4 linked regions of the Arabidopsis thaliana genome follow. The protein of the gene in region 4 interacts with the protein of the main gene of each other region in a pairwise test. Each region holds a gene or a part of one and is shown on either strand. Other genes may lie near its edges.

Evidence for each region.
Region 1: the proteins of CYCD5;1 (region 4) and ICK6 interact in a two-hybrid assay, tested with the Arabidopsis thaliana proteins (one large-scale study listed by BioGRID).
Region 2: the proteins of CYCD5;1 (region 4) and DEL1 interact in a two-hybrid assay, tested with the Arabidopsis thaliana proteins (one large-scale study listed by BioGRID).
Region 3: the proteins of CYCD5;1 (region 4) and ICK3 interact in a protein complementation assay, tested with the Arabidopsis thaliana proteins (one large-scale study listed by BioGRID).

Annotation. Positions count from the first base shown.
Region 1 is NC_003076.8:19,789,829-19,797,945, forward strand, and holds ICK6 (inhibitor/interactor with cyclin-dependent kinase), read right to left. Parts: upstream 4,581-8,117; 5' UTR 4,519-4,580; coding exon 4,088-4,518; intron 3,906-4,087; coding exon 3,879-3,905; intron 3,123-3,878; coding exon 2,928-3,122; intron 2,850-2,927; coding exon 2,780-2,849; 3' UTR 2,442-2,779; downstream 1-2,441. Other genes in the region: CB5-D (cytochrome B5), read right to left, coding at 266-352. UniProt on the Arabidopsis thaliana protein: Binds and inhibits CYCD2-1/CDKA-1 complex kinase activity. May target specifically CDKA-1.
Region 2 is NC_003074.8:17,781,395-17,790,184, reverse strand, and holds DEL1 (DP-E2F-like 1), read right to left. Parts: upstream 6,855-8,790; 5' UTR 6,545-6,854; coding exon 6,411-6,544; intron 6,334-6,410; coding exon 6,266-6,333; intron 6,177-6,265; coding exon 6,124-6,176; intron 6,040-6,123; coding exon 5,962-6,039; intron 5,852-5,961; coding exon 5,798-5,851; intron 5,707-5,797; coding exon 5,595-5,706; intron 5,433-5,594; coding exon 5,365-5,432; intron 5,274-5,364; coding exon 5,198-5,273; intron 5,091-5,197; coding exon 5,029-5,090; intron 4,932-5,028; coding exon 4,526-4,931; coding exon of another isoform or gene 4,497-4,525; exon of another isoform or gene 4,463-4,496; intron 4,440-4,462; coding exon 4,339-4,439; 3' UTR 4,025-4,338; downstream 1-4,024. Other genes in the region: ALDH10A9 (aldehyde dehydrogenase 10A9), read left to right, coding at 267-375, 731-873, 967-1,047, 1,127-1,275, 1,460-1,552, 1,640-1,763, 1,877-1,942, 2,061-2,127 and 7 more; APC8 (anaphase-promoting complex subunit 8), read left to right, coding at 7,620-7,705, 8,169-8,481. UniProt on the Arabidopsis thaliana protein: Inhibitor of E2F-dependent activation of gene expression. Binds specifically the E2 recognition site without interacting with DP proteins and prevents transcription activation by E2F/DP heterodimers.
Region 3 is NC_003074.8:9,056,733-9,063,919, reverse strand, and holds ICK3 (Cyclin-dependent kinase inhibitor family protein), read right to left. Parts: upstream 3,085-7,187; 5' UTR 2,931-3,084; coding exon 2,524-2,930; intron 2,425-2,523; coding exon 2,332-2,424; intron 2,248-2,331; coding exon 2,178-2,247; 3' UTR 1,917-2,177; downstream 1-1,916. Other genes in the region: AT3G24820 (BSD domain-containing protein), read left to right, coding at 741-838, 1,062-1,203; PRT1 (proteolysis 1), read right to left, coding at 6,125-6,412, 6,500-6,618, 6,772-6,969, 7,052-7,187. UniProt on the Arabidopsis thaliana protein: Inhibits CYCD2-1/CDKA-1 complex kinase activity without interaction with the complex.
Region 4 is NC_003075.7:17,676,279-17,684,040, forward strand, and holds CYCD5;1 (cyclin d5;1), read left to right. Parts: upstream 1-2,889; 5' UTR 2,890-3,218; coding exon 3,219-3,461; intron 3,462-3,541; coding exon 3,542-3,628; intron 3,629-3,712; coding exon 3,713-4,022; intron 4,023-4,097; coding exon 4,098-4,246; coding exon of another isoform or gene 4,247-4,252; exon of another isoform or gene 4,253-4,327; coding exon 4,328-4,510; 3' UTR 4,511-4,986; downstream 4,987-7,762. Other genes in the region: ACA2 (calcium ATPase 2), read right to left, coding at 6,947-7,186, 7,268-7,566, 7,654-7,762.

The sequences.
Region 1 (8,117 bases), on a different chromosome or scaffold from region 4:
ACAGAGACATCTTAAGCAGCACCAACTATCACATTCAATTATAAAGACGTAAGTTTTTAGCAATTTCTCTGTGATTTAGACTTAGAAAAGTAACATTAATCTAGCAAATCAGATCAGATCTATCCCCAAACTTGTTACTACATAACTCTAGATTTATAAATCCAAGTCAACACAACTCAAGAATTTCGGATCTCACGAAGATAAGATGCAAAATCTAAGGGAAAACGGAAAATCGAATGAGAAACTGGGATCGGAGATGTAGGACCTTGCCGTCGATGACGATCCAACAATCCTTGGCGCTACTGTGCTGAGAAACCTCGGACAAGGTGAAAACTTTTCCGTCTCCGCCCATCTCCGATGATCTGCTGGTGACTGGTGAGAGTTGAGAAGAGGAAGAGTATTACTATTATTTGGGAATCTGTGAGTTTGGGATCTTACACCAACCGCTTTTTTGGTCTACTTAAGTTGTGTATGTCTGATCTCATCTATTGATGGGGTCGGAAATTAATCAGTGGCCAATAATCAGCAGTTAATCAAAGATTCCGTTTTCTTATATTATTTAAATGAATTTATTTTATATATTTAATTAATGTAGAAACTAAAACAATTTATAATGTTACAAAGAAAAAATGTTATAAAAAATCTTAGTATTGTATGTTTTTCCTTAAAATAAAATAAATGTTTTTAGTAATTCATGTTAGCTGATAATGTTTCTACTAAAATCATGTTAGCTTATTGATTTCCATGATGCTTATAATGTTTATACTAAAATCATGTTAGCTTTATGTACATCAATTTAGATAAAATCCAAACGTTTGGTGGTTTCGCCCTCTTAGACGTATGATCAATCGTGTAGACGGCTAGATGTTAGGGTAGACCATTCTAATTGGGCCCAACCATTCACTCGGTCCACAAGATCCGGATCTTTTCTTCAGTTGTCGATAGTATTTAGTTTTTTCATGAACTATAGCAATATGGACACGATGATTCATGGGAGGAAAGATATGGGGTTGTCTTCTTTAAAACTTGATGGCGCTTAAGATAAAAACAGTCAAAGAGACTTGTCGGAAGGCCAGTGTAACGAAAGCAGTGTGGTTTTAGTTATAGGCTAAATTGAATATGAATAATTGATCATAGGCCCAGTTTGTTGGTTTATGATTTTAGAAAGAATTGATAAGAGAAGGAGAATGTTTTGAGGTTGGAACTCTCCGACAGATAAATATGATGGGAAGAATTATTCACGGTCGTATATTTTGACAAGGGACCAACGGAAAGGAGAGCAGTTGCATGCATCACTCGTCTTTACACTATTTAGAAAGAAAATGAATCTTGTTTAGTGATTCATTTTAAAAAGTTTTTCTATGTGAACCTCATTCGCTAGAAGTAGTTTAAATGTATTTGCCTTAATCCGATCTTAGAACTGGATATTTGATATTTCTGTAATCAGTTCGAATGTATCTAACTATAGGGCTAAAACACCGACTGTATAGTTCTTTCGACATATATAGAGTGTGTACTTTGCTTAATGGAACCATAGGCATGTTAAACGAGAGCATTTAATGTTGAAATTCACTTCTTTTTTCAATGCATGTTTTGACTCACATTGCAAGGCCTATGGTTGGTGTTCAACGAGAGAAAGAAACTATACATGACAAGTTAAAGACATTTATTTTGAAGGACTAACCCAAAAGGAGAACGAAAGAGAGCTAGAGAAGAAGAAACAAAAAGACAAAAAGGCTTTCGTAATCAGTGCTCTTCCTTTTTGGCTTTTTACTACCAAATAGTTTAAAAGAGTCAAACAAAACATCGAACAAGCTGAATTCAGATACCCCATTGGTCACACAGTTGATGTAAGCGAATCTATATGTCCCAAAAAACATGATTTTTATAGTCAGTGAGCCCGTGATCAAACAAGCACCCGTGTACATACGTACACCATGTCCATATGTATAAATGTATAATATAATGAATGTATCTGAACGTTTCATGCATTCACTTTTTCACTTTTAGAGATTAAAGAAAAACATAGAACAATGATTGGGTTCGAGATAAGATTTCACAGTTTCATCACACTGGTTTTGCCAATTTCCAAGAAATGTAAAAAAAAAGATAAAACAACAGAGATCTTCTCAATGAACACTGTCTCATCTTTTTGTCAGTTTCTTGTTAATAATAATTTGATATTCAAGATTCAAAACACTCTTATCTCTTTACTAATTAGTACAAAATTCACCTTTGTGTTTGTACTTTTAACTCTGAACTTACATTACAGTATTTCAATGTAAACGTCAAAGTATTTACACACACATTCACGTGCGTCATAATTATGGTAAGAGAAGAAAAGGGACCAATCTTGTATAGTTGAAAGAAAAAGGATATGATTCAGATTTTTACACCTACCAAAATTCACACGTGAACCTCTCAATTGGGTCTCTTTCTTCTGCATCTGAATCATTTTTTTCACTATATGCCAAGCTTAAACATGTTCACACACATCCCTCTCAATCATCATCATTACATATAGCTTTGAATAAACATGAGAGATAGATAGAAAAACAAACACTTGAAAGAAACAGATGAGAAAATTTCACTAAGCATCTGAAGAAGATTAGTAGTACAAATGGTGTGAGGTTTTAAGGTCCCTAAGCTACTCTCAAACTTGTTCTCTAACCACATTATTACTTAAGATTACACGATTTCTGATGTTTGGTTAGTCTGTTAACTCCATCACATTCTCTAACTTCACACCATGTCTTTTGGAGCTGTTTCCTTTTGAACTTCATGGTTTGACTTGCACCCATTCGTAACGTCCGCTGAGGGGGATATCATTCACAATGTCGAAGTTGTACCTGAAGATTATTGAAAACACATGAGTGTTGTTCACCCTCTTCGTAATGACACAAAAATAAAATAAAGAATAAGCTTACTTCTCCATGAATAGCCTCTGTTGCTGCTGCTCTGCATATGCAAAGAACTCCTCCATTTCACTAGTGGTCGGGATCACGTTATCTTGTTCCCTTGTGTACTCTTTGGTTGCTCTGCACATCGACCTCGTGCTAGACCCTGGTGTAACCATGATCTCCATATCCTCAACAAAGTTACAAGGCGTGCTCTCCCTTGTGCTGCAGAAAAAAACACAGATAAAATAACTTCAATAACATTATCACCACAAAGACACTTAACCAAATCAAGAATCAAACCAAAACCAAACATCCAGAATAAAAAAGAGGCTTGGTTTAAGTAAACAACAAAAGCTAGAGACTTTCTAAGTAATATGGTCCCATAAGATAATAAATAACAAAGAGAAGGCAATCACCACATTGTCAACTAGCAGCAGGACGGTTACCCCAAAAAACAGAGGATCCTACAAAAGTATTCCCCAAGTATGCAAAAACCACTAGGTCCCATGAACATGACACCACAGTACTTGCATTACACTTATGAGGAAAGTCCCAATTCTCATATAATCTTACATATTAAAAGTTTCTGACCTTTATACAACAACCCACTTTTGTAAAAACGAAAACCATGTGTTTAAGTAAACCCCCAATAACCAAATCCCAATATTGTATACCCAATGTACAAATACTTCTTATGCCATTAGCCTAATAACAAGGAGAATCAACATGTTCTTAAACAAATTAAAATACACAAAAACAGATCAGAGTTTCACCAAATTTGTAACAAATAATGAAATACATATATAAAACGAAAATAGCTTTGACACATTCATTGATAATCTCTGCAATGAAGTACACATGGGACATACAGCAATAAATCAGATATAATGTAAATCTAACACCAAAAGAGACTTATACGGAGAAGTAGTAATAACAAAATTCAGTACATCACAAGAGAGTCAATTCATAAACAAAAACCAAACCAATAAGGGAAACATAAAAAACCTATTTTTCTCTTGTACTAAACTATTTTCATCCCCCAAAAAAAAAAAAATTGATTTGAAGCAAACAACAAAAGTTTCAGAGAAACCTAACTAAGATTCAAAACTATGTAAGACTCAAAACTAAGATTATTGGATAAGACAGAACACAAAAGTCGAATTGGTAATAAGAAAACATTAGGGCACAAAAAAAAAAAAAAAAAAACAACGAACCTGTGTCTTGATTCAAAACCGAGACTGTTTTCACCACAAGAAACTTGGACACTCACGAAATTGTCAAAACATTCATCTTCATTAGAGCTCTGAGCTACAGGAACCGAGTTAACCGAGTCAACGCGAGACCTGGAACCAGACTCTTTAATTCCCGATCTGTGAACTCTCGGCGGCTGTTTCGGTTCAATCAGCGAAGAGGGTTTCTCGAGACGGCGGCTACGGAGCTGAAGATAGCAAGAAGAGTCGTTAGGTAGAGCTGAATCAGCGGCGGAGGAATTAAGCCGCTTCAAGGCTAGGGTTTTAGCGGCTCTGGTTCGAACACCTGGACTTGGAGCTGTTGCTTTAGAGACTTCCATGACGCTGATATCGCCAGTTATCTTTGATTTCTTCATGTATTTCCCCATTTTTTGAGAGAGGGAAAAGAAGCTTGAAAGCGGAAAGAGAAAAATGAGAGGGAAAAGCTTTGAGGGAGGAGAAGAAGAGGGAAAGTGAGAAAATGGGAAAAAGGTTTTCGAGTTTTGTGGGGTTAAAATAAAACAAAGGAGAAGAAAAAAAAAGTTTACCTTTTTTATCTAATTGTCAAAAACAATATTATTATTATTATTATTTTTAAATAAAACCCCAAACTCATCATTATTATTTGTATTTTCCGTTGTGTTTTCACTTTTCATAGAATAATCGTCAGTTTTACATTTTTGATTTATTGATAATTTTTGTTGTCGAATAAATTTAAATTCATCATTTGACTAAATCTTTAACTTCTTAAAAATTAAACTGCTAATTAAATTCATCATTTGACTACGAATTTTCTATTAAATATAACGTGTATTGCATACGGCTTTTCTATTTTAAAATAAATTCTCATTAATATGATCGGTTTGTTGTTAAAAAAACAATTTTCATTTATTTAAATTTTATCAAATAATTTCATCATAAAAAGTATTGAATTTTTTTTATTGAAACCATATAAACTTAATAGTACATACTTTTAACATGTAACAACAAACAACTAGTTACATACATTCACATAGAATAAAAAATGTTTATACGAAAAATAAATTATTATTATGCACACGAATAAATATTCAACTTAAGTATTTAAACATAATATTTTTTCTTTGAAATTGACAGACTTTTTCCAAAAAATCGAGTCAACGGAAATTGCACCAAAAAATTGCTAAGTTTACAATTTTGGTATATAATGATTTTTATTTCTCAATTTAACAAAAATAAATCTAGGACTATTTTCCATAGTTAAATTACCCTTTGAACCAACGCGTATTACACACGGCTTTTTTTGTTGGATATACATGTTTCTTTTAAAATAATGATTTATTATTTATCATTTTTATCAAATATATTAATCATAAAAATTATTGAAATCATATAAAGTTAATAGCCCATACTTTTTCATTGTATATCAATAAATCAGTAGTTAAATACTTTCACATATAAGAGAAAATATTTATGTAAATTAGTAATTATTCTTACATTATGCACACTAATGAATATTAAACTTACATATTAAACATGATATTTTTAAAAATACATTGATAAGAATTGTTTCAAATTTCTAGTCAACTGACATTTCACAAAAAATCACCAATTTTTGTATATCATTATCTATATTTCTCGATTAAATAGAAAAAATCCGGGATTTTTTCTTTATAAAATTACCATGTGGACCCATAATTTATATATTTTCTATCTTTTAAAATCAATTAGTCAATCAATCATTATTACATACAAAAGTTTCACAATTTTAAGTTTTAACACGCATTGTACACGATAACATGGCTTCTACATCACATAAATATATGATCCGACAATAGTTTACAAAGAAGAAAATAAACAATTTCTTATTTACCTTAAAACATAAAATAATAAAAAATCAATATGATTTAATAAAACATGTTGATCGAAAATTCCATGGAGATTGTTGTAAAAACCCTAAAGAGACGTCTACATATACACATCAGCTACTAGTGATGATTGCTTCTTGTGATGAATTTTGATTCATTGGCATTTTATGTGGTATATGCAAAGAAAGGTATGATTTCAGTAATAAATTTTTGATCTAGGGACAATTTTCAATATTAATCCTCATTTGTTTGCTAACAACATTTATTATGCGGATATAATCAAAATGTATGTGACAATTGGGCCGCGCGAAATATAAAATACCAATCAAAACCTTTAGGAAGGAATCATCTGCAACATGTTACTACGGAGAAATGCAAGCTGGAACGAGGCAACAAAGATGAAGGTATGTATCCCACCATTATAAATTAAAATCAAATTATAATTCGGATTATACGTATCCGTAAATTCATTCTCTGGATCTGGATTCACCTATCTTGGATATCCGGTTTTCTGGATCGGATCGGAAAGAATTCCGGATTGGATCTATGATTCCGAATAATAGTGCCATGCCTCTCAAAAATCCATATACTGTATCTAAAATCTTTTAATGGCAAACTAAATATTAAAATTCCACTTTTTTTTTGTAATTAAATTTAGTTTGGATATACATATATATTAAACCACAAATTTGGATATCTGAAGTGTAGATATTTGGAAACCACGAATTTGGACCTAAATATTTCAAAATTTCCTATGTTAAAAAACAAAAACAAATAAATTACTACTTCCATTTAAGATAATTAGAAAATCCATATAGTGTTTGCTGACTAAGATTCCTGGTCCATACTATTAACCACATAATCCCCAATTATTAAGCTCAAGCATTAAGGTTCATTTTATTAAGCTCAAGCATTAAGGTTCATTTTATTAAGCTCAAGCATTAAGGTTTTGCGTGGCACAATTTCTTTTTTTTTTCTATTCAGAAATAAATTTACAACCAATTTTACTTCTTTTTTTCTCTTTCATGAAAAGATCTTCTTTTTGGGTTTTATTTCAAATACAAAATAAATAAAAATTTAGATTTATTTTTGTTTACTATTTTTACAAAGTTCAATATATTTCATAAACTATCTAATGAGGATTTCTTGTATTTCACTTTCAATTATAAACTATGTCTAAACTGCATCATATATATGTCCAAGAGCATATGTATCTTATATGAACTTTAATTCTTTCAATATATCCCACTTACAACACATTAGGAGACCATTATTAGAAAGCGTATCATATCATTGATGTTAATTTTGTTTCTTGGTTTTATTTCGAAAACTGGTAGGTTTAGTGAAAATATAATCTTTCTCTCTAGCTTTTGATACTCTTCGTGCTGCCTTTGTATCACTTTTGGATATTGTACTAGAAAAACTGAGCTTAGGAATTACATTTTTCCAAATTGACTCCAACGTGAAAATTAACCAATCTTTAAACTATGTGCTCCCAAACTCATTCTTTCCAGTGCATTTTCGTAGAAGATGTGTCATCTATGTACCATCTTTTCCAAAAAAAGTTATCATCCTAGATTAATTCATGTCAGTTTCTCTCATGAATGGCAATGGTGAAGACCCTGAAAAAGATTTGACGGTAATTTTGTTGGGAACAGATGGTACAAAGTGGATATAATTTTTTCTACGAAAAACACATGAGAATTCGAGTGGAAAAGGGTTGGGAAGAATTTTCTAAAGGAACGGCTTAGAGATTAGTAACTCCTTCACAATGGATCAGTCAACTTGGAAATATCCAACCTGATGCTTAGTGTTTCGAGTACATAGTCCGAAAGTGACACACGGCAACAAGGAGGGTATTTGTAAAATCTAGAGTATTTGTTTCCACGGAACTTAGCAATAGAAACAAAACCAGAAACTAAAAACTATATGTCAGATGAGTAATTCATCTTTAATCATCTAAAACCAATTTAAAACATTAGCACAACAACAATTGTCATGTTCTACTAAGAAATCATGATCAAGTGTAGCTTTGACAAGTGACTCTAAATTACAATGTCGATACCTACCCCGACCATAACTAGAGTAGTAGATGTAGAGAAGATTTGGTGTGTCGAGTGAAAAACATAGCGAAAAACAAT
Region 2 (8,790 bases), on a different chromosome or scaffold from region 4:
TTAAACAATTTTTACAAGAAAGAAAAAAAAGACAGCCTCGTATAGGATGTATATAAAAAAATGATGTAAAAATGGTTAGAAATCCAAATAAATGTAAATATCCATGAATTAAATCAATCTTATTTTTTAAAAGGTAAAAAACTATTTTATATGAGCAGCTATCAGAAAAATGGGTCAGATATCATTCTTAGAACCAAAACGGAAAGTCCCAACGATCCCATTTTACTCCTTTTCACCACCTCTAGTAGCAGAGAGAGAGAGAGAGTATGGCGATTACGGTGCCGAGACGGCAACTCTTCATCGGCGGTCAATGGACTGAGCCCGTTCTCCGTAAAACTCTCCCTGTTGTCAATCCCGCCACCGAAGACATCATCGGTACTTTTTATTTTTTCCAATCATATCTTGTGTTACTCACTTTTTGAACTTGATCACTCGATTTTCGCGAGTTTCGATTCAATCTATCGTTATCGGAACTACGCATTTCCCGATTTGCTGTATACTTAGTTCGCGAATTGAAAGAGCTTTGAACTTTTGTCTGTTTGAGACGATCGTCATTTCTTCTGTGATTATTGTCTATGAACGGGAGCGGAAGTTGTTTTTGCGTTAGATCTGTGGGATTATATAGGAGGAGAATAGATAGATATGTAGTTGAATGATTGGATTGGATCTCTTCTCCTGCTGATGGAGTTCTTTGTAGTGTTTTTTAAACTGGGATTGGTGGTGGTTTTAGGTTATATTCCAGCTGCAACTTCTGAAGATGTGGAGCTTGCTGTGGAAGCTGCTAGGAAAGCATTTACTAGGAACAACGGAAAGGATTGGGCTAGAGCAACTGGTGCTGTTCGTGCCAAATACTTGCGCGCTATTGCAGCTAAGGTAACAACAATGAGTTAATCAAATCTATGTTCCTCTCATGTTTCATTCTCTGTTAGCTGTTTTGCCTGGCAATAACATAATGGAAATATCCAGGTAATAGAGAGGAAGTCTGAACTAGCTAATCTTGAGGCTATTGATTGCGGTAAACCTCTAGATGAAGCAGCATGGGACATGGTATTCTCAATTTGCTTTTGTGAACATTTGGCAGTTTTGTGATTCATATGTCACATGTGGTTGCTTGTAACCTTTGCAGGATGATGTTGCTGGATGTTTTGAATATTATGCTGACCTAGCTGAAGGCTTGGATGCAAAGCAGAAGACTCCTCTTTCTCTTCCGATGGATACTTTTAAGGGTTATATTCTCAAGGAACCCATTGGCGTAGTTGGCATGATTACTCCATGGTACTATATTTCATTGACAGATTTGAATCTAACCGATCCCTCAGATCGTTGTGTATTATCCTTTGTCAAGTTCGCGGATTTAAATTTTACATATTCAGATCACATTGGTCTTCAAGTGTTCTATCTTCCTTTTTAGACAAACCGTATGTTATTAGGCAGCTAATAATCTATATTTGCATTCAAGGAACTATCCGTTATTGATGGCTGTCTGGAAAGTCGCTCCTTCACTTGCTGCTGGGTGCACGGCTATACTGAAACCTTCAGAGTTGGCCTCCCTGTGAGTTTTTGATTTCTGTTGACATCATAGCTAGCCACTTCAACTATTAGTTCATTAACTCGCCAATCTGATGCTGTTTTATTCCAGGACATGTTTGGAGCTCGCTGATATTTGCCGCGAGGTGGGTCTACCACCTGGTGTTCTTAATATTCTGACTGGTTTAGGAACTGAAGCAGGTGCTCCACTGGCATCGCATCCACATGTTGACAAGGTCTGATCACTTGTATACCACTACCAGTGTCCTGAAAGTCAAACACTTATAGATAGAGCACTTATTTCCTTTTTATGGGTTAGTTGAAGTATTGATATTTTAGCCTTTACCAGATTGTATTCACTGGAAGCACAACAACTGGAAGCAGCATTATGACTTCCGCTGCCAAATTGGTGAAAGTAAGTCTAAGTGTCCTTGTTACTCTCCTTTGGAACTAGTAGTTATCTTGGCTTGTTTATTCGACCTATGATTTTTCGGGGTCTGTACATGAATCTTGTTTTATGTTTCATTCCACAGCCAGTTTCCTTGGAGCTTGGGGGTAAAAGCCCTATCATTGTCTTTGATGATGTCGATATTGATAAAGGTGGGTACTTTTGGAACCTTAAGAAAACTATGCTATATATTTGTATTCTAAAATGCTGGTTTAATTTGTGACTAATATTTTGCTCTAAACAGCTGTGGAATGGACTATGTTTGGTTGTTTCTGGACGAATGGGCAGATTTGTAGTGCCACATCTCGACTTCTTGTGCATGTAAGTGAGCCTATAATCTACAGTACCTCTGATTTTAAATTCTGCACCGAACTGTTCATGATATGTGTTATCCGTTAACACATATAAAACAAGTTATGTGTTATCCGTTAACACATATAAAACAAGTTATGTGTTATCCGTTAACACAATTATATGTTGTAAAATTAAAGGTTACCTTTGGAAATTAAGTTATAATTATGTAGGCTACTCTAGTCATAAAACAAGTAGAATATATAACTTATCTTTTACATGAAACCACCGATGCAAAGGTACAGAGTTTCAGTATATGTTTATCTGTAAGACTGGTCATCAGCAATTCGGATAGATTGATAAGTATCAGTTGTCGTAGGACCTTGGGAACCCTTGATAAAAGTAGGATAGCGAAGCTTTACTATACTTCTTGTGTACTGTTGTTTTCATGAAAGAATCTGGTGAAATGTCAGGAAAGGATTGCTGACGAGTTTTTGGACAAGCTGGTAAAGTGGACCAAGAACATTAAGATTTCAGATCCTTTTGAAGAAGGCTGTAGGCTTGGTCCTGTTGTCAGTAAAGGACAGGTTAAATTGCTAAACAGAATTGACATTCTCAAGAATAAACACCTCAATCCTCCAAAACCCTCTTATCTATCAATTTGGGTTAATGACGAAAGATTTCTAGTCAAGTCTTACATATTTATCCTCCTGTGCAGTACGAGAGAGTTCTAAAGTTTGTCTCAAACGCTAGGAATGAAGGTGCAACTGTTCTTTGTGGAGGAGTTCGTCCTGAGGTACATTATATTGACTAATCTTCTATGTATGTGCCAAATACTATCTAGAGCCCGTAGCACTTACAATATTTTATTTATGTTCTGCAGCATTTAAAGAAGGGATACTTTGTTGAACCTGCGATTGTTTCAAATGTGACTACTTCAATGGAAATCTGGAGAGAGGAAGTCTTTGGTCCTGCTCTGTGTGTGAAAACATTCTCCACCGAGGATGAGGCAATTCAGCTTGCAAATGACTCTCAGTGAGTGTAGATTTCTCTTCTTATCTTGAAGTAGAACTCCACTGATGACGTGTTAGATCATATGCCTGACTTTATTTGTATTTGCAGATATGGATTAGCAGGCGCAGTATTATCAAATGATCTGGAGCGGTGTGATCGTGTTAGTAAGGTGTGTATCTAACTTTTACTATCAACAATAACAATCAATAACCTCATGATTGAACTTAATCTCTAAAGTTTTATGAATCGTAATCATTGTGTGTTTCAGGCTTTCCAGGCGGGAATAGTGTGGGTCAACTGCTCTCAGCCATGCTTCTGCCAAGCTCCATGGGGTGGAACCAAACGCAGTGGATTTGGCCGTGAATTGGGAGAATGGTTAGTCTCTTTCGTTAGCTATAAGTATTAAGATTATCAAACCATTAGAAAAAGACACTCTCCAACTAGATGGAATTGTGTCCATAGTAACTTAAACCGTAATAGATTACCAACAAAATTTGAATTGAAACATATTTTCTTCGTCGCAGGGGACTTGAGAACTACTTGAGTGTGAAGCAGGTGACTCAGTATATCTCTGATGAACCATGGGGATGGTACAAACCTCCTTCCAAGCTCTGAGACAAACACTAGTTCCTGATATTTCCTTAAAACATGTACTCATGAGAATATACCAATAAAGCAAGAGACCCTTCTGTAAGAGAAATGGTATTGCTACTTTAAATTCTTGAAAAAAATGAAAAATAAGATGAGATGATATTTCTTTTTGTTTTTCTCAAAACAACATGCCATACAAAAGTAGCAAAAAACTGGCGAAAGATGAATGCTCTTATATGTAACATACAAAAGTTACAGCCTACAGTAAACTTCAGAAAGCAAAGAGGGTATGCGATCTGTGAATTAATGTCGGATTCTTGCAGTTACAATTGTGTGGAGAAACTAAACCACATTGATCAAAAGAAATGACTCTTGAAGCTCTCTACACGAATGATGATTGATGTTCACAGGTAAGAGAAGAAGAAGAAGAAGAAGAAGAAGAAGAAGAAGAAGAAGAAAAAGAAGATCTAACGGTGTTGTGATGTATTAGGTAATGGATTCTCCTGGGTGACTTCGCTGAACCATGTCTTCCAAGCATCCATGTAATGGGAAAAGAGGTCTTTCAAAACTGAAATTTGTTCAGAAACAGAGTTAATTTCATAGCAATATTTTGACAAGTTTGATATCAAATGGATGTGAATAAAATATATGCACCTTGGTTTTGGTAAGAGGGACGGTAATCAGAATCCAGATTCTCAACATCAAAAGCTCTCCTAGAGTTATCCTCTAAACCAGCAGTTGGATATGTACCAGTGCCTGGTGCAAAAGGTCCAAAATGGTAACCTCCTCTTGATCCATGTCTTGATTCATGAACATCAAAGCTTTTGTTATAAGAACTCTCTGGTGTTGAGTGCTTTTTCATCTTTAGCCTTCTCTCTGTAGCGTTTTCTTGGGACGAAGATGATGATTTGCTTCTCTTAACATTGACGTTTGTAATATCAGTTCCGAAAGCTCTTTTTCTTGACTCCAATTGCAACAAATCGCTGCTCAGTGTGAAAGTAGGCTCACCATTGTACCCTAACCACTTGAAAGCTGGTTTCCTAGAATCTAAGGTGTGAGTCTGCCACCAGAGAATACAGAAACTAGTAAGACTTAAATCACAGCTTGAAATCATAGATGGTTCACAACTGTTGTAGCTATTGATAACTTTGACTTACCTTCTCTATGAGATTCATTGACGACAAGACATTTGCTATATCATAAAGCCGCCTCACTTTAGCTGCATAAAAGTAATCAATGTGTCAACAAACACAGATCGATTTGTCTCAACCGAGGATGTTAACATAAAAGAAAAGACTTTTCAGGTCACAAGACGAAGATAATTACTTCGCATTATTGATGTATTGTGGGCATCACCAAGCAGTAATTTTGCAGCGTCATCAAGGGAGATGATCCTAATAGCCTAAACAGTTGAACACATAAAAAACAAATCTTTAGTAACTTAGTGAATAACTCTTTAGTTCAAAAAACGAATCTTTGAACTTCTCACTTACTTCAGAGCAAATAAAGAGTTTGATAAAGTTCTGAGTAAGCAATCCTAAAGATTTCTCTCGTCGGTTATCTGTCATACATAACCAACCAACAAAATGTTAGGATATCTACATTGCATCTCATAATTCATATCCCACATATAGAGTTACCAAGAGGGTAAATCACTTAACTACTTTGCAATGGCACTAAACCCGAACACAATAAGTACTACACGCACAAAATGAAACAGTACCTATTTTGGAGGGATCTGAAGATTGGGGAAGAGAACCAGGTTTTGAACTATCAGTCTGGCTACTAGAGTGAGGCTGAGAAGACTCTTCATCATCATCCTCATCATCAGATCCCTGAAAGTATGAAACTTTAAGCATTAGAAGTATGAAGACAACAAACTAAAGACACAAGTATATCAAAAGAAACCAAATCCAAATGACTTACTTTAACATTCTCATTGACATAGAAACGATGAAAAGTGTCCTTAACCCCCTCTTCCTACATCAAGAACACTTCCTATGAGAATATGCAAATCAAATCGCTACATTTCTTCACAATTGGGATTGAATGGGATTGAATCCGAATACAAAACAAATGAAAAGACTCACTTGTAGCTCCTTCAATGCTCCTGGAATTGCGGAAAACCCTTTCCACGTATACTGATTCTTTGCTCTTCTTGTTAAAACCTAAATTAGACAAAACTCGAATTAAGCAAACATAACACTTCTGGATTCTGAAAAAAAACAAAGTAGTGGAGAAACAAGTCTCACCCCAACACTCTCCAGAACATTAACAATATCATAGATTCTTCGTCTCTCCACTCCTGAAATAAACCCCAAAAACCCCAATCAACAAATTAAGATGTAAAATCAGAAATGAAAATAAAAATCACAAACACAAAGTGGGCAATACCTAATTTCGAGGCAGCATCATCAAGCCCAACCATTTCAATCCCTTCTCGATTATACAAAGCTAAGAAACTGAGTTTACGAAGAACACTAATCAGAACAAATTCAACAACAAATAAATAAAATGGGTTTAGTAAAAAGGCACTAACTTGGTACAAAGAAGTCCGAGAGATTTCTGTTTGCGACTATAGGAATGGTGTAATTGTAAAGCCGAAGAAGATTCCGGTATGGAAGAAGGAGAAGTAACGGCAAGTTTGAATCTTTCTGGCGATAGATCTGACATGGTTGACGCAAACGATGTCTGCGATTGAGAATTTGATATTGTATTTTGGAGGGATTTCCTAAAAAGAGAGAGGGGGAATTTCCCAAGATACTTGAGCGCCAATTTGAATTTTTTGGCTCCTCCTTCTCCGTAACATTTACACACTCCTCTAAATTTTGGTAAAGCTGAAACCTTTACGGTTTTGTGCTCGGTTCAGATCGCAATTTTTTGGTTTTTGTCTTTTTGTTTTTTCGGTTTAGAAAATTTCTTACAATATTTTCAGGATTCTGTTCAACTTTTTCATTTTTCTTTTCCAAAATTAGATTACATTAACCAAAATAATACATTTTCAATCAATATTATAGTAACAAGATCTATTTTGGATATCTATCTTTTTACTTGAACTCAAAAAGTAAAGTTGTAAGGGGATTTTGGTTTTGTAGGATTTAAAAGTGATTTGGTCTGAATTTGTTTTTGGTTTGGTATGGTTTGTTTGGTTTTGGAAAGATTAAATCTTTTGATTTGTAATCTTGTAAAGAGTAATGCCCTTAAAATGGTAGATTCATGATAGTGTTTAACTACTTGCATAAGCAAAATCAGGGTCTATCTTTGACTAAATTATAGTCTTACCATTAAAAATTTCTATTGACCAAAACAAAAGGTTATTTTGTCCAACTAAGATTTTTTTTTCTATAATAGTTTTGCATACCTTTGGTCTTACTCATTTGAGCTAAACCAATTAATTTAAAGTTGTTGACAAAACAAAAAAAAAAAAATTGCATTCTTATTTTATTTTTACACTTTTTCAATAATTCATTGATACCTAACAGAAATTAATACAAAGTGACAAAATTGATATGATATTAAAATTAGTTGTGTAAAGAGTTTTTGTGTGTGTGTGTATGTTAGTTTCATGGGCCTATTTTGAAACCCAAAAGTTAATCAATGGGCCCAATACACACGATCTCTCTGTAAATTTCAAAATAATTAAGATGGAGGGAGCAAATGTTTCTGAAATCTCTCTCCACGACGAAGAAGAGATTCTTCGATTCTTTTTTGAATACTTAAAGTTAAACTCTCAGTTTCTGCTTCTGCTATGGTCTCTAAAGAGTGTTGCCGAAACGAAATACGTGCGGCTATTCGACAGCTTAGCGACCGCTGTTTATACTCCGCCGCAAAGTGGTTCGTTTTCTCAAAACCCTAATCTTATTCAACCTCTCCCATTGTTGCAATCTCTAGCTCGCTACTGCTCTGGTTCGATTAAAAATCGATTTTTTCACTATCCTTTATGGGTTTTACTAATTTTTTTGTATCCTGGGCTAATTGTAAACAAATTTGGTTAAGCAGATTCGTTGATTCGAATTCACTTTTGTTGCGAATTTGGTGTTGGATACATTCCAATTCAGATGATTCGACATGTGGGTTTTGTGTTATGATATGTTTGAGCTCGACACTAATTGAAAAAATGTGTTCTTTCGATGGGAACTTCTGATCTCCGGTTCAATCTTTCGATATGTTTGAGCTCGACACTAATTTGTGAATTATGAGTTAAAGTTTCAGTTTTTAGTACTCGTATTGTAGTTCAATGGTGGTGAACTATTAGTCAGTTCCATATTTGATATCTCCTTTGCTTTCATCATTGCAGGGCAGGAGAGCAGCTTGTGGGGATAGAGCAAGACCCGTCTAATTTTACACCTGCGAATACGAGGTTTCAGCGAGGAAGCTCTAGCATCCGGAGAAGGTTCAGCACCAATGAATCTATTTCAACACCGTTACCTTCCGTTGGCTTCTCTCAAGCAGCTACTCCTCTCCCGGAAGAAGATGAAGCGATTGATGGTGACATTTACCTTTTAGCAAAGTCCTATTTTGATTGTCGAGAGTATAGACGGGCCTCCCATATGCTTCGTGACCAAGTGAGCAAGAAATCACTGTTCTTGCGTTACTATGCGCTTTATCTGGTATGTTCTGTTTCTCTATCTCCTATTTTCTATTTAGCTAGAGCTTTTATATCTTATCAGAATAGGGTGATGGAATGAACTTTTTAAAAGTTGGCTCCAAAATGCTTTTGAGTGTTCTTTTAGCCTCGGCCAGTAGGCTGCCTTCAAATAAATGCAATATATGGACGTTATTACAAACTTATAGGACTGAGCCTCTGATTCACAATTTTGTTGATGTCCAGTCACAGTTATGTTCTATGATACAAGAGATATGAGGGTATGCAACTGATATACAAAAGTAAATAAATGAGTGAAACTTAATTGGAATTG
Region 3 (7,187 bases), on a different chromosome or scaffold from region 4:
TGTGATTGACTTTTGTTTTGAAATGAATGGAATTGGTAGCTGTAGAGATTACAAATGATCAAAGTTTAGCTTTTGGAGCCAATGGTGCTATTTTAAAGTTAGATTCATATCTGAGTGTGTGGGCTGATGATTCTTATATAGCCTATTACATAGCTGTTGTCTTCTTGATTTCCTAAATTTTGCTTCTTTTGATGATTGAACTTGTGTTGAAATGAATGGAATTTGTAGCTGTTGTCTGTAGAGATTTCAAATGATCAATGATTGGATTTTGGAGCTAACGGTGCTATTTAAATTAGATTCAAATAAGAGTTGATGATTCTTATAGCGCCTATAGAAAGTTGCTGTCTTCTTGATTTGCTTGTAGCTTTGGGTTTGGTCAATTAGGAGCAATGGATCGAATCTTATAGGGAAATTTGAAAGTTACTCTTTAGGACTAAGCAAGATTTCTAAATGGATGGAACTGGTAGTGGTAGAGCTCTTGGTCCACTGGTATCACTTGAATCAGAATCGGATCAGAGTTTATGTGCCGAATCTTATAGTTCATTTGATGCTACTATCTTCCTGAATTGCTTGTAATCTGGTTAGGCTCATGTTAGTGAAAATGGTAAACATGCTCGTGTTTGCAGTTCAAGATGATTTTGTTACACAGTTGGTAAAATTGAATTTGGTTGATAGGACCATTGGGTTTAAACGAATCTATTTTCAAAGCTGCTCTAAACAAGATTGATTTCGTGTTACAGGAACTCTCACAGTTGAGATTCAAGTTATGCCCGCGAGTTTTAAAGGAACATCAGTTTTGGAGGATATATTTCCAGCTTGTGAGGAAGATTGTGGCAAAGTAAGTACTTTCTTATGCCAAAAAATTTCGTTTGAGATGGTTCCATAACTCCAGGTGTAATGCCCTTAGTAGGTGTTAAATGCACCTTACTCTGTTGTTCTGTGTATGATTCCACTTTCATATAGAGATAGTGAGATGGGTTTTTAGCTTGTAACAAAGTGATGAATAAAGATCACGAGAAATATGAGTTTAACCATTGGTAGTTCATGGAAATTATTTGCAGATATGAGGTGCTAGCAATCCAACAGGCTCAAATCAGGAGGATGGCCATGGAAGACAGTAAAACTTCTGAAAGCAAGGGTGTATATGAAGTTGAAATGTCAGAAACAAAGCAAAGGTTGAGTACAGGACCTGCAACTCCGTGAAGCTTCGGTGGTAGAGTTGGGATGGAACATGACAGGTACTGTAATATTACAGACTACGTATTTACTTAATACAACTATTATCAACGAGAATGAAATCACTCTAAGCATCCTATGACTTGCTTTTGCAGTTTTGCTCACAAATTAACCAAACAAAAACGCTGAACCATCGGAGAAGCAGGGCTTGATCAGTAAATATTGTTCATGTGTTAAAAGGTGACAAAACCAAGAAGGTTTTGATTCTTCAGAGATGTAAATGATCATGTGAATTTAGTACTAGTATCAGACATAACACAGTGGTCTTAAACGCTTTGTACTAATAAGAATAGACATCATTATTTAATGTTTTGATTCATCCGATGAGCAAATGATCTAAAGAGGTGAAATATTTTACAGAAACCAAGAAACCTAATCTTTAGCATGAAAGGTGCTACTAACTTAGACTTTTGAAGAAATAATTCCAGAAAGCAAGACAGTGAGTGCAGTGCCAATAAAGAAGAGAGAGATGAAATCTAATCGAAGCATTTTACTGCAACCTGTATGACAGAGGAATTGGTACAAGTACCCACATGTGTGAAAAGCCCAATGAGATTAGAGTATCAAACTATCAATAAAGAAGATAGAGATAAAACCTGTGACTAAGGTTTTTGTTCAGACAAGTTCACTACTTTTGCTACTTGAATCCAAAGTATATGACTTGTAAAGTAACTCTAATGCAGAACCACAAAACTCAGACCTTCACTGAAGTAACCAAAGAACAATGAAGAGATTTACAATACTAATTTAAGTAACTTGACAGTTAAATTAGACATTTATTTGTAGCAAATGAGAGAGATTAACATTACATTATTCTTGACTAACAAGTTATACACCAACCCTAAAACCCCACAAAGTTAGTCTGTGTGCAATTTTCATCTCCTCTGTTCCAACACAGATGTTTCCTAAAGCACACAACTTTACATCGAACACAACTCATTTCATGGCATCACTTTGACCCATTCGTAACGTCCAGGCAATGGATTGTCCGAGACAATGTCAAAGTTGTACCTGCAAAACCATAACTCCCCCAAAGTCAGACCAAACTCTAAAAACTCAAGAGAATCAAGACACTAAAGAAAATGGGATTTGTACTTTTGAATGAAGAATCTCTGTTGTTGCTGTTCTGCGCTAGCAAAGAAGTCTTCAATCTCACTTTGTATTGATTTTGAATCACTTATCATGCTCCTATGAGAGAACCAACATATCAAAACTCAATCTCTGTATTGTAGTAAAAAAAAAAAGTTTGGAGCTTTAAAATGAAAAAAAAAACAGAGTTAAAGTTACCTGTTTTCTGATTCCAAATCAAAACCTTTATCTCCAAAATTACAATCAGACCTAGATATTCTCTCATTATCACCACAAGCTTCTTCCGTCGTCGTATCCGGCTCTAATTTCTTCGCCGGACCGGAACTAGCCCTAGGGTTTTTCGTTTGACATTGATTGACACTAGGAATGAGCTGTTGCTTCTGCTGTTTTCTGGTATTAGTGAGTAATGGAAGCTTCACGAGACGGCGGCTCCGGAGCTGGAGGTAGTTAAAGGAGTCTGCTTCGTCGGAATGAGAACGGAGACGGTGGAGGGCGAGGTTTTTAGCGGCGGCGGCTCTGGTACGGAAACCTAGAGCGGGTGGGTGAGATTTATCCTTAACGGAAACGGCACCGGCGACTTTTGACTTCTTAATGTATTTTCCCATCTCCGGGAAGGTGGTTTACTGAATCTCCGGTCGAGAGCGAAAGGAGGGAAGCAACGAAGGAGGAGGAAAAAAGTGATTTTTAATCTGAAAAAGTGAAAACTAAAAGGACAATGGAAATATTTATTTTAAAATCGAATCAAAAAACAAATTAGACAAATTTTTAAGGTGTCAAAGGCCCTCTCACCTGATTGTCATCATTTTCTTCGAAAAAAGATAAATCAAAATTTAATTAATTGGAATTTAATTTAATTTTTGTATTCTATCTGATTAAAACTTAAAAGTCTACTTTACAAAAGTAAATTATGAACAATATATGAGATATTTAAAGTATTAATTTGAGTTTGCTTGAGAAAAATATAGTTTAATACGCAAATTTTTAAAAAATATTCATTTAATACGTAAACTTTGAATATAATCATTTAATATATAGAAAAAAGTTATTTTACACTAAGTTAATGTTATCTAATTTTTTTACGTTGGTATAAATTTTGGCTGATAAACAATTAAGTTTGTGTAAAATAACCGGTCAATAATTTTTACATATATTAAATGTTTATATATAAAATTTACGTATTAAATAACAACTTTTTGATAATTCATGTAGTAAACGACATATTTCCGACTCTATATTTCACTTATATTATATAATTAATTCTTAGTTACTCCAAAATAACATAAAATAATAGTTCTCAAATGAAGAACATTTTTGGAAATATATATTCCAATTATTCTATACACTATATATATAGTATTTAAAGTTTATGAGTGGTTGGTGCAACAAATAATAAAAGGCTGCCGAAAGTAACAAGGTCTTTGAGAATAAAGATCATCAAGCTTATATTAATTGCTTTGGTAGACCATCCATGATTATAAAGCAATTGATATCGTGTGGAAATTTTTAGTTATTTTTGTTAAATAATGCAAAGATCGTTGTATGTGTCAAATTTGTTTTGGTTTAAGATAATAAGGCAGTTCATTTTTTGCATCCATTTTCATTGTTTCATAAAATTTGGTAGACAAGTCAACGTTAACTTTGTACAAACAATCCAAAACAAAAGCTAGCATTCAGATTTTCAAATGTCATGCAGGTTATTGGTTCAAAAGAAAAAAAGAGTCAACCATCTATTAAATTCTTCACATTTGACAAAAACGTACACATTAATTGTATACAGATACATTTGACTGTAAATTTTTTTTTTTTAAGTAAACAAGTGTCTTAAAATTAACATCATAGGGTTGATCACTTACCTAAGTATTTATTTTCTTTGGATTTATTAGCATTGGACATTTATATTGGTTGCTTCTAGTTTTATAGTTATGTAATCATCTCAACAACCGTTCTCTTTGTGATGTAATAGTTGAGATTATCTTTCATAAATTAGGCTTCAAAAGTTGACTTGTTGGTAAATTTGTCGAACAAATAAAGTTGGTCTGACTACATGCTTATACTCACGTCTAAATAGAAAAATTAATTTTCCTTTACATAAAATTTAGTTTATACTTTATAGTATCTGAAATGTAAATATATGACTCAATTTGGTTTTCTACATTTCTTTTGTGTAGCAAACACAGTCTTATTCTTTTTTGTTTCTTTGAAACAAGAATCGTGATGCGGCGACTAATTAATCTACTGTTACGTGATATACATTTATACATTAAATCAGACTTATATTTATTTATTTTTGTTAAAAGGCCTTCTTATATTAATATATATGTAACCCGTGAAACAACAACAAGGTGAGTACTGAGTAGAGGCTCCCAATGTCAATGCCCCGGTGCTTATTATTCTTAATCGAGAGGTTTATTATTATTGAAGAAGATGAATTACATTAAAAATCTCTAAATTTAAAGCTTGCGATAATTCATAATTCTCATGATTTTATCGAAGATGTCAAAGGGACATTCTCATGAATCATGATTTTATATGCTTCAAATCGTATGCATGACCAACACTGTGTACAATCTTTAGATATTTCTTTGTTCATCAGTTCATCCAAACACGAAAGATCACACTACTAGCCCATAATACTTTAAACCTGAACAAAACTTTATAACCGGTTTAAATATGGTAAAAACTATTTTCACCGTACAAAGAAGGAAGGCACACGTGCGATGACTCTCAGCAATCATGCAACAGCTCAGATCTCGAACGCTACCGAATCCCCAAAAATCAGAGATAAAGGCAAAAAAAACAAAAAACAAATAAAGGATCTGCAATAACACTCTTCACGTCCTCCCGCCCTTTTTTTCAGGGCGCCAAAAAAAAAAAAAAAACTGTTATCACAACACGCTCGTACTGAAAAAACTTTTTCCTTTATTTTCTTTTTAATACAATAATAAAGTGTTTTAAAAAAGACAGAACCCGAGAAACGATTTCCGACGTAAGAGCAGTCATGGGTTCCACACTCCGACCAATCACATCGTAGCTGCCTCACACGCACTCAGAGGAGCGAATCTTTCACCTTGATGGGGTCCCTTGAATCCAGTTACTATCTATTAGCAATCCTTCAAGTTCAAGCCAATATGTATATTGAAAAGCTTTCACATGCCTCAATTGTTTCAAAAGTTCACTCTTTTTTACATTTACATGACTAAACTTATTCTTTTTCAGATAAATACCGGATAATAACTGAAAGAATCGAATAAGTGTAATTTAAGATATTACAATTATTATTATAACTGTACTTTTTAAAAAAAAAATGAATGATACGGATAACGGATTCAGTATGAATATTGAATAATATGGGTATTTAAATGATCTAAGAATTTAATTTATACATAATTTTATATATTCTTAAAAAAGATTTTAATCATCTTTTTTTTGTGCAAAAAAAAGTTTTAATCATTCAAACAAATAATTTGGCTAGTTAACCTTTTAGTAACTATTGTATTCAATTATCTTGTCTCAAATGGATAATTTCTTCTATCTTTTTTTTTGTTAAATGGATTCTTTACACTAACAATAATAGTTGTGTACTAATGAGAGGAATTAAAATAAATCACACTTTAAAGGTAATATAAACAAAAGAGGTGACTTAACAACCACAAATGCAAACAAACTTTGTTAAGAAATAAACTTTGTTTAAAATGTTAAAACCATAGACTTCTCAGGAGAAAATATATTATGAAGTATAAATACAATAACAAACGCAAACACAAAGCGAAAGCATATGCATTAATACTTGACTGCTATTTCATTCTGTGCTTGATGACTCATTAGAAGAACCAGGAGGCCCTTCCTCGCCTTCATCTGTATCCATGCCTTCATTTGAGATAACGGGTCCGAGAAGGATACCGATAGAATTGAAATTGATCAGAACCTGAGGAGACCGTGCAAGCTCAAGCCTGTGGTCAGGAGTGTGTTGCTGGTTGAATCTCCCTGGAACTTTCGAAGGAGTCTCGTAACAGTCTTTGCAAAGGTCATACCCAATTTCCTCCTTGCAGTCTTTGCATCTGTATCGATCCCCTATGATTGGATACACCTGTAGCAAACCGCACCAGTGTCAAATTACGATTCACATATTTTGGTTTCACAACTAACAATCGGGTTAAGGTAATAATGCACTTACCCCACAAGAATCACAACCAGCTCCAAAGTGAACATTTGATCCAGGGTTTGCCAACCAGGGATCATCATTGTTATTGTCGTTTGATAAGGACGGGCCTTCTTTGAGATAGCTTTGAATATCTAAACATCAAGATAAAACGATTACAAACTGTGAGTCTCTGTGTATAGGTCTCACATATTTTGTGTAACAACAAGAACTAAGCTTTGAGAGCACAAGGACATGATACATGTCGATAACTACAAAATGGTTCAAGGCATGAATGTCGGACTTACTTCCTTTGCTATTATGGGCGAGCGTTTTCTGAACCTTACTGCTTCTTGAATTGTATTCTTCAGGAAAGTTTTCCTCCAAAAGCTGTTCAAGAATCAAACAAACTTTTGGAAATCCTCTTGGGTCACAAACATTACACTCTTGACATTTGATCTTTTCGCTTTCTTCAGCCATATCTACTACACATCCTTCACAATACACTGGAAAAGATAAAACAGGAAATTAGCACATAAAGCGAATACTCATGACATTTATCGAAATCAAACATGTAAGATTATATACCATGTCCGCAATTGAGAACTACGGGTCGTACAAGCAGCTCCTTACATGCTGAACAGAGCAAATCATCTTTCGAAATCTGCTTACTGACTTTGTTATCCTTAAGTAATTCATTTTCATGAACATTAAGAGCTTTTGC
Region 4 (7,762 bases):
TGCGCCATCATTCCACCATCAATTTTTTTTTATATATTATATCATATTTCTTTCATGTATTATTCAACATCATACACAATTGATATTTGATAGTGTTATGTCTTTTTTGTCCATAGAGACCTTCTTGTGGAAACAGAGGGACCGAGTTTCTTTGTTTTTGCTAGAGGATGAATAGACTAATACACACCTCGAAAGGAATCATAAGTAGATTGGAAAATATTGTGTGTAACGTGTGTTAGGTATCCTAGATTTGTTAGTTCATTAAAAATGTGATCAAATTATATTTGGTTACTAACTCTTTTTTTTTTTTATATGTCTGACTGTTAACCCTTCTTAACTCTTAAGAGTTCACTATGTTCAAATAGGAGCATTTATTTTCGTCTCATTTGCTATATGTAATGTCATATTTAGTTACCAATATTACATTTTATTTTCCACATAATAGTAATTTTATTAAATGCGTGAAATAGACCACAAAAGACTTTGATTCCTTATCAACAAGGGAAGACAATCATAGAAAGAAAAGCACGAGAAAACAAAAATAATTTTGTTTCACCAAAAAAAACAAATTAGACATAGATATTCACCAAGCGAGTTAGCCTAACGACCCAAAACTTGTTTTGAAGTGATAAAAAAATATCCTGCAAATTCATCATCATCGTTACTAATTTCGGTCAATCTTGGCAATTGCAGATCACATCATCTAAATTCTAAAATGATGAAATGCATTTTTCAAGTTATTGTGAAATTGGTCCCTCATCTTGACTACATACAAACATCTCAGAAAAAAATTTGTAACATAATGTAATCATTGTATATATATACATAGAAATGCACAATAATACAAGTCAGAAGTTAAAAAAAGGAAATACAAAAATAATCTGTAAAATACGTAATGTGAGAATATTACTTGTATCTAGGGGGGAGATCGAACAAATGCTGCTGATACTTCACTAACATACACATAAAAGTTGCAGATTTTGGATCTTGCGTCTTCTTGGTTTTATACCCTTTTCTTACATCTAGTCTTATAAATATTAATACTATAATAGAAAAATTAATTATCCTATATATTGAATGACTCGGCTCCAAAGCCATGCGCCTATATATACAAGTCTTTTTATTTTTTAAAAAATTTGTCAAAAAAGGGACCAGAAACATATAAAGATGGGAGCCTCATTTGCTGATGGATAAATAAATATTTATTTGATTTTAAGTTTGTTCAAGACTAATTATAGTACAAATTAGTAAATTGTTGTTCTTTTTTTTTCTTAACATATTACATATTGTATAGTATAATTCCACTTTCATCCAATTGGATAATCAGTTATAATTCGGATGGTTTACGATACATCGGATTCTGCTTTCAATTTTTCTTGTATACATCAAAATTTAACACATGATAAGGTTTTGGAACCCGCTAACGAGACCTACCTATTTTTACAATAAATATACTCATTCAGTATTTGTCTATATTTCTACCTACAATCTATGTGAATTTGCTTACGTATATCTACTCTTCTTATCTACGTACTGTATAAATTTTCATACACAATCTTCGTGTCTCGTAACATCTACTACATGAGTCATATACAACTTTCTCACCTAACATGGAAGTCATTACTCGTAGGCCTAATTACTCGTTACCGTGAATATAACTATAAAAAGTGAGGAAACAAAAAGATTTACGGAGAAGAAAAATTGAATAATAATTGCAATAGAACTATAGGAAAATTTGTATATGACTTAGCAAAAATAATGATATGGAACTAAATTAAAAAGTTGAGAGGATTTTTTTTAGTGGGAATGGTATGGTGTTTCCCCCACCAATTCCTAAAAAAAACTTATTGCAAAATTGCTCTTTTGATCTTTATTTTCTTCCATTGAAAATGAATTTCTAGGTCTGAATTTAATTGAAGTCAATAAGTGGGAAATAACTAAACTAGCTATTCCTCTGTTTTCTGTTCACAATTCTATTTTGAATAAAGTACATTTTAATTCAAACCTCTTAAAATAGAAGTTACTACAAAAGCAACAAAGGGGGTGGTACGTGGAATACACTAATGAGAAATGTTAATAAGAACGTTGTATTTGGAATGGGATTTAACTTTCTGCACATAAATTTCAATGGGATCATTATTCTTTCCTAACTAAATGATTGATACAAATTCAAAGGATCCTATAAATCTTATCTCAGAGACCGAAAGAAAATTCCATTTGTACAAAACAACAAATAAATAGAAGAAAAAGTTTGATGATAACATTCTTAACAGAATCCGTGAACTTTGTTCATGTAAGAAATCTAGAGTGTAATCAAGGAAGTTCAACAGGTAAAAACAATGACATTTATATATGGACGTTCTTAAAACGTGTAAATCTCATATATTTAAGACAGCCACAATAGTTCTAAACGCTCTCCATTCCTGCATTAAGTATTTATTTCTATTAATAACATTTAATTTATCAATAAAGTTCACATTATCATAGACAACTCCGAAATTAAAAAAGTTTTTTTAAAATAAATTTGCTTAAACTTAAATAATCAACAAAATACAAAACAGTTTAATGGAAATAGCAGAAATCTTTTTCAAGAAAATACAATACTATTAGATAAAAACAATTTTGTTAAATTAAAAAAAACCCATAATTGACTAGCATCAAAAAGTCTTCAAACACAAGTAATCCTGCTGGATATTAAAAAAATAAAAGAGTAATCATTCCTTTAAAAAATGTGATTATTTGTCGACCCAAAAAAAAAGAGTGATGATATTATACATATACTCAAATATTAGTGAACAAATAAAACCTAAAATTAATCAAATAATAAAGATTTTTAATTTAAATGTAACCGCTAAATAACGCCCCCTCTCTCTCCCCCACTTATTTTTGGCGGCACCAGACGCGGGAGACTCTCTCTCTCTCTCCACTCTCTCTCTCTTTTTTCTTTGTTTTTTCGTCACTTGCTCCTAAAATCCCAAATCGAGTAATGGAAGAAAAATCAAATACGATGATTTAGCTTCCCTTCTTATTCTTCCCCTATATTCACTGCGATAACTTTGCCTCTCATCTCATAAATTAAAAAAAAAACACTCTTCTCACAAATTCTTTATAATTCCCCTTTTGATGTGTACGGACACACCACCGAAGCAGAAGCAGAAGAAGAAGAACACTTCTATCTCCGCCGCCGCCGTCGTCTTCATCATCATCGCCGCCGTTAAATGGGTGAGCCTAAAGACAGTCTCGCTCTCTTCCTCTGCCACGAATCGGAGTCTTCTCTAAACGAAGACGACGACGAGACGATTGAGAGATCTGATAAGCAAGAACCTCACTTTACTACTACGATCGATGATGAAGATTATGTGGCAGACCTTGTTCTTAAAGAGAATCTCCGATTCGAAACCCTACCCTCTAAAACGACGTCGTCTTCCGATAGATTGATTGCCATCGATTGGATTCTCACTGTCCGTAATCTCAAAAAGATTTTCCCTTTTTTGATCTTTGTCTTAATCTCTGATTGATTGGTTCTTTGTCTTAATCTCAGACAAGAACAAGATTTGGGTTCCAACATCAAACAGCTTACATTGCAATCTCATACTTCGATCTGTTTCTCCACAAAAGATTCATCGGTGTAAGTTTCAATCTCCAGTTTCATTTATCTATAAAAATCTCACCTTTATCTTCAGATTAAAGCTTAAAGATGGTTTCTTTGTAGTTGCAGAAAGATGAAACATGGGCGATGCGATTGTTATCAGTAGCTTGTTTATCATTAGCTGCTAAAATGGAGGAACGTATTGTTCCTGGTTTATCACAATACCCTCAAGATCATGACTTCGTTTTCAAACCCGATGTCATTCGTAAAACTGAACTGTTGATTCTATCCACATTGGACTGGAAGATGAACTTGATCACTCCTTTTCATTACTTCAACTACTTCCTTGCTAAAATCTCTCAGGACAACCATTCTGTTTCTAAAGACTTGGTGTTGTTAAGATCCTCTGATTCTCTTCTTGCTTTAACTAAAGGTAACTCTATTAAGAAACACATTTTTTTCTCAAGATCAAAGCATTTATTGATATCACATTTTTGTTTCCATGTAGAGATAAGTTTTACGGAGTATCGACAGTTTGTTGTTGCTGCTGTTACTACATTGCTAGCTTCTTCTTCTACCTCATCGGATATTAGATTGACTAGAGAAGAGATAGCTAACAAGTTTGGTTCGATCTCTTGGTGGACTTCTAATGAGAATGTATAAATCTTGGTGTCTTTTTATTCGATTTTGATTGTTTGATGTTGATGATCATAATCTTAGGAGTGTTGGGTTTTGTAGGAAAATGTATATTTGTGTTATCAGAGAACGCTAGAGATTGAGGAGAGGAAACATATGACACCTCCACCGGAAATAGCGGTTTCTCGCGAACCGCCGGCTTCAGGAAGTGGCGCTAAACGCCGATTGTCTTTTGATGATTCTGATCAAAGTTCTCCACCAGCCAAGAGAATGCGTAGGCTATGAAGAGAGAGTTTCTTTCTTCTTCAAGTTTTGGCTTATATTGATTTGGTTTCTTTTTTGGCAACATATTGATTTGGTTTTATATTCAATCATTTGATTATAGAGAAAAAATGGTCTGAATACATCGGTTATTTCAATTTTTATGAAGTAACTCATATAGGTTCTTCGTATGAAGGTCTTTGGATTTCTTGGGGATGAAATGTGACTATTAAAACATTAGGGGCTTCTCTGAGAGAATCTAGGAAATATGAGGAGTGAATGTAAATAAATAAGAAAAACAGAAAGGGTGAATAGTTTTAGGCCAATAGTTGCAGTGCCAGTGATTTGGTTTCACATCCTCTTTTATTTTTTTATTGTCTTATTTTTTTATTTGTTATGTTGCAATTTCTTTTTCATTTGATATTACAAAATTTTGTCATAGATTTTTTTTTTTTTTTGGCATCAAAGTCCATTTTTTTAACCTCTTTAACTTTCAAAAGGGCTCATTCATAGCAAATAATAAATGAAAAAACTCTTTTTAAGGTAAGGTAAAATTATTTTATATTTGATAAATATATTTATTTTCTTATCTTTATTGACACTTTTGGTCATCTCCAAAGTGAATCCATCTGTATGCTACTCAACATGTTATGTCCATTCCACAAAGTCCTTCGTGATCTTTTCATGTTCTCAAATCTCAATATATAATATCTTGGAAAAAAATTAATCAAATAAAAAGAAAATTTTCTTGTTTAGGAAAAATCATCGTTACTTATCTTTGATAGATAACTACTTTTACGAATTGACAATCAGTCGATCACGATAAACTAAAACGGATATATATTTTGCTCCAATAAGTTTTCTTTAGCATTATAGAAACCAACAACTTGTAGTGGAACTGTGGAAGTACTTTGGATCAATGATTGGATCTAAAGATGAAACCCCAATTTATACAGAAATTTGCATGTGATGTTTTTAAGTTAACGTACTATTCTACGCGCAAGTCAAAAGTGCATCGTACTCGTACATATAGAGGTAGATTGTTTTTTTTGTGTGTGTTTATAGGATTATTGTTAATATTTTCAATGAAATGCAGTTGAGAAAAAAAAAAAAAAACATATGTGTAATAGACTGAAGAAACAACAACCCAACGACTTGTTTAAGTGAGAAACAACTGTCTCATACAATACAACTTGGGATCCAAAGTTTTGGTTCCATTAATTAAAGCTTTAATTCCAAAATGATTAGCAACGAATTAAAAGACTTATTACAAACAAAATGCATTCTTACAAATTAAGAAGCATAAAGTACTGACAGAATATAATTAAAGATAATGTGTGTGTGGTTTAAGGCCAATGTTTTGTTGCTCTAAGAGATTATTCAACAAATCAAGAAGCATAAAGGGTCAAGCTTTACTTCACCAAGAACTAGTTAATGCTTCTGAATTTTCTGTTGCCTATCTTTCAATGAATATTAGTATGTCCCAATTGTTATTTTTTTTTTTTGCTTATTATCATTGAGTTAAACCATTTTGTTTCTGTTGGGTTTTGTGTAGACATATGTGAGATTCACGGGTAACACAATTTAGTTACAACTCTCACTTTGGTTAGGAGATGGATAAACTAATGACTAGTGAGATTGAAATATCACAAAAATAACTAATCTTTATGTAAATTCTATTTTCATTCTAGATATTAATTAGTCCTTTATTTATGAACATTTATTCACACGATCACAAACTTAAACAATTAGTTATAGAATATTTTACCGGTCTAATGTTCACATAGAAATTATAATTTACCTATACGCCTACAAGGGACAAATGACTATAGTATACTCATTTTTTCAATCTAAAAAATGGTTTTACTTCATAGAGATCCTAAATTGATAACATTTAAAAATGTTTTTTTCTTTTCTTAAAGAAGAGTCTTTCTTATTTATTACAGTTTTGAGATTGACAGGCTTTGGAATTGTTATATGGAATCAGTTTTGACTGATGAGATATGATGTCAGGAGAAGAGGCTCCCACTAAAAGCCATGACTTCATTGAGAGATTTTCTAAGTATATCAAATTACAGTCTGGCTAGATAACAATTTTGTACCCAAATAATCATTTTTCTTATTTTAACCTTTTGCTTCCTCTGTTTTTTCAATGTCCTTTTTCTGTATTTTTGCATTTGTCATTCAATAGAGACCAAATTTAGATTCCAAAAATGAGAAAAAGAAAGAAAAGAGAAGTGTCATTTCAAAGATACAGAGAGTTTTACAAAAATGGAGGAAATCAGATATTTGTCCTTAATAGCACTAATCAAACTGAAAAATAAAAGTCAAGAATAAAAAACAGAGTCATTGCATAATGCAAAAACTTTGTTAGAAGACTTGTCCGTTCTAAACTTTGAAGTAACTGGTCTAATATAGAGATCTTTAAAGAGTGGTTTCGAGCCAATTTTGATGGAACGATCAAACGGGAATCGTCTTCAGTCCAGCGGCGATTGGCATACCCAAGAAACCTATGAAGATACTGAAGATCCATTGTGTTATTGTGAGTGGTGTTGTGCTTGCAAATGTGCCCAAGAACTCGATGATTATGATCTGAAAGAAAACCGTTGCACCGATCACAACCACAAAGACGTAATTGTCCAGTATTCCTTTGAAAACATCGATCTCTTCCATCTCTCGCGAGCTTATCTCGTTAAACACCTGGAGTTTTCAGAACCAAAGTCATGTCAAGAATCTATCTTTATAGCTCGAGTATTGTTATCAGTAATCTTTGTTCTTTACCTGACAGAAGACGAAGCAGTTGAAGATAAGAGTGTTTAACATGAGAGTTGAGTCAGGACCGTCGAGACCAAACATAGCCTTCCCTTTGGCTTGGAGAATCCAAATTACGATGAATTGGTAAACAGCTTGTCCTAAAATGTTCCTCCACATCGCATTAGTGATGAAATTGCCTCTCCTTCCAACAGGTAAACGCTTCATCAGCTCGTCGTTTGGTGGCTCTGTAGCTAAAGCAAGAGCTCCAAGTGTGTCCATGATCATGTTCACCCACAACAATTGAACAGCAGTTAAAGGAGCACTTCCTGAAGATTATCATAAGAGCTGTGTCAAACAAGGAATCCAAAATGATTCTTTTCGAGACATTGAATTGGTATTCTTACTAAACCTACCGGTTAAACAAGCTGAAGAGAAGTTAACAACCAGTGCAACAACATTAACGGTAAGCTGAAACTGAACGAATTTCTGGATGTTTATGTAAACAGAACGTCCCCATTTAGC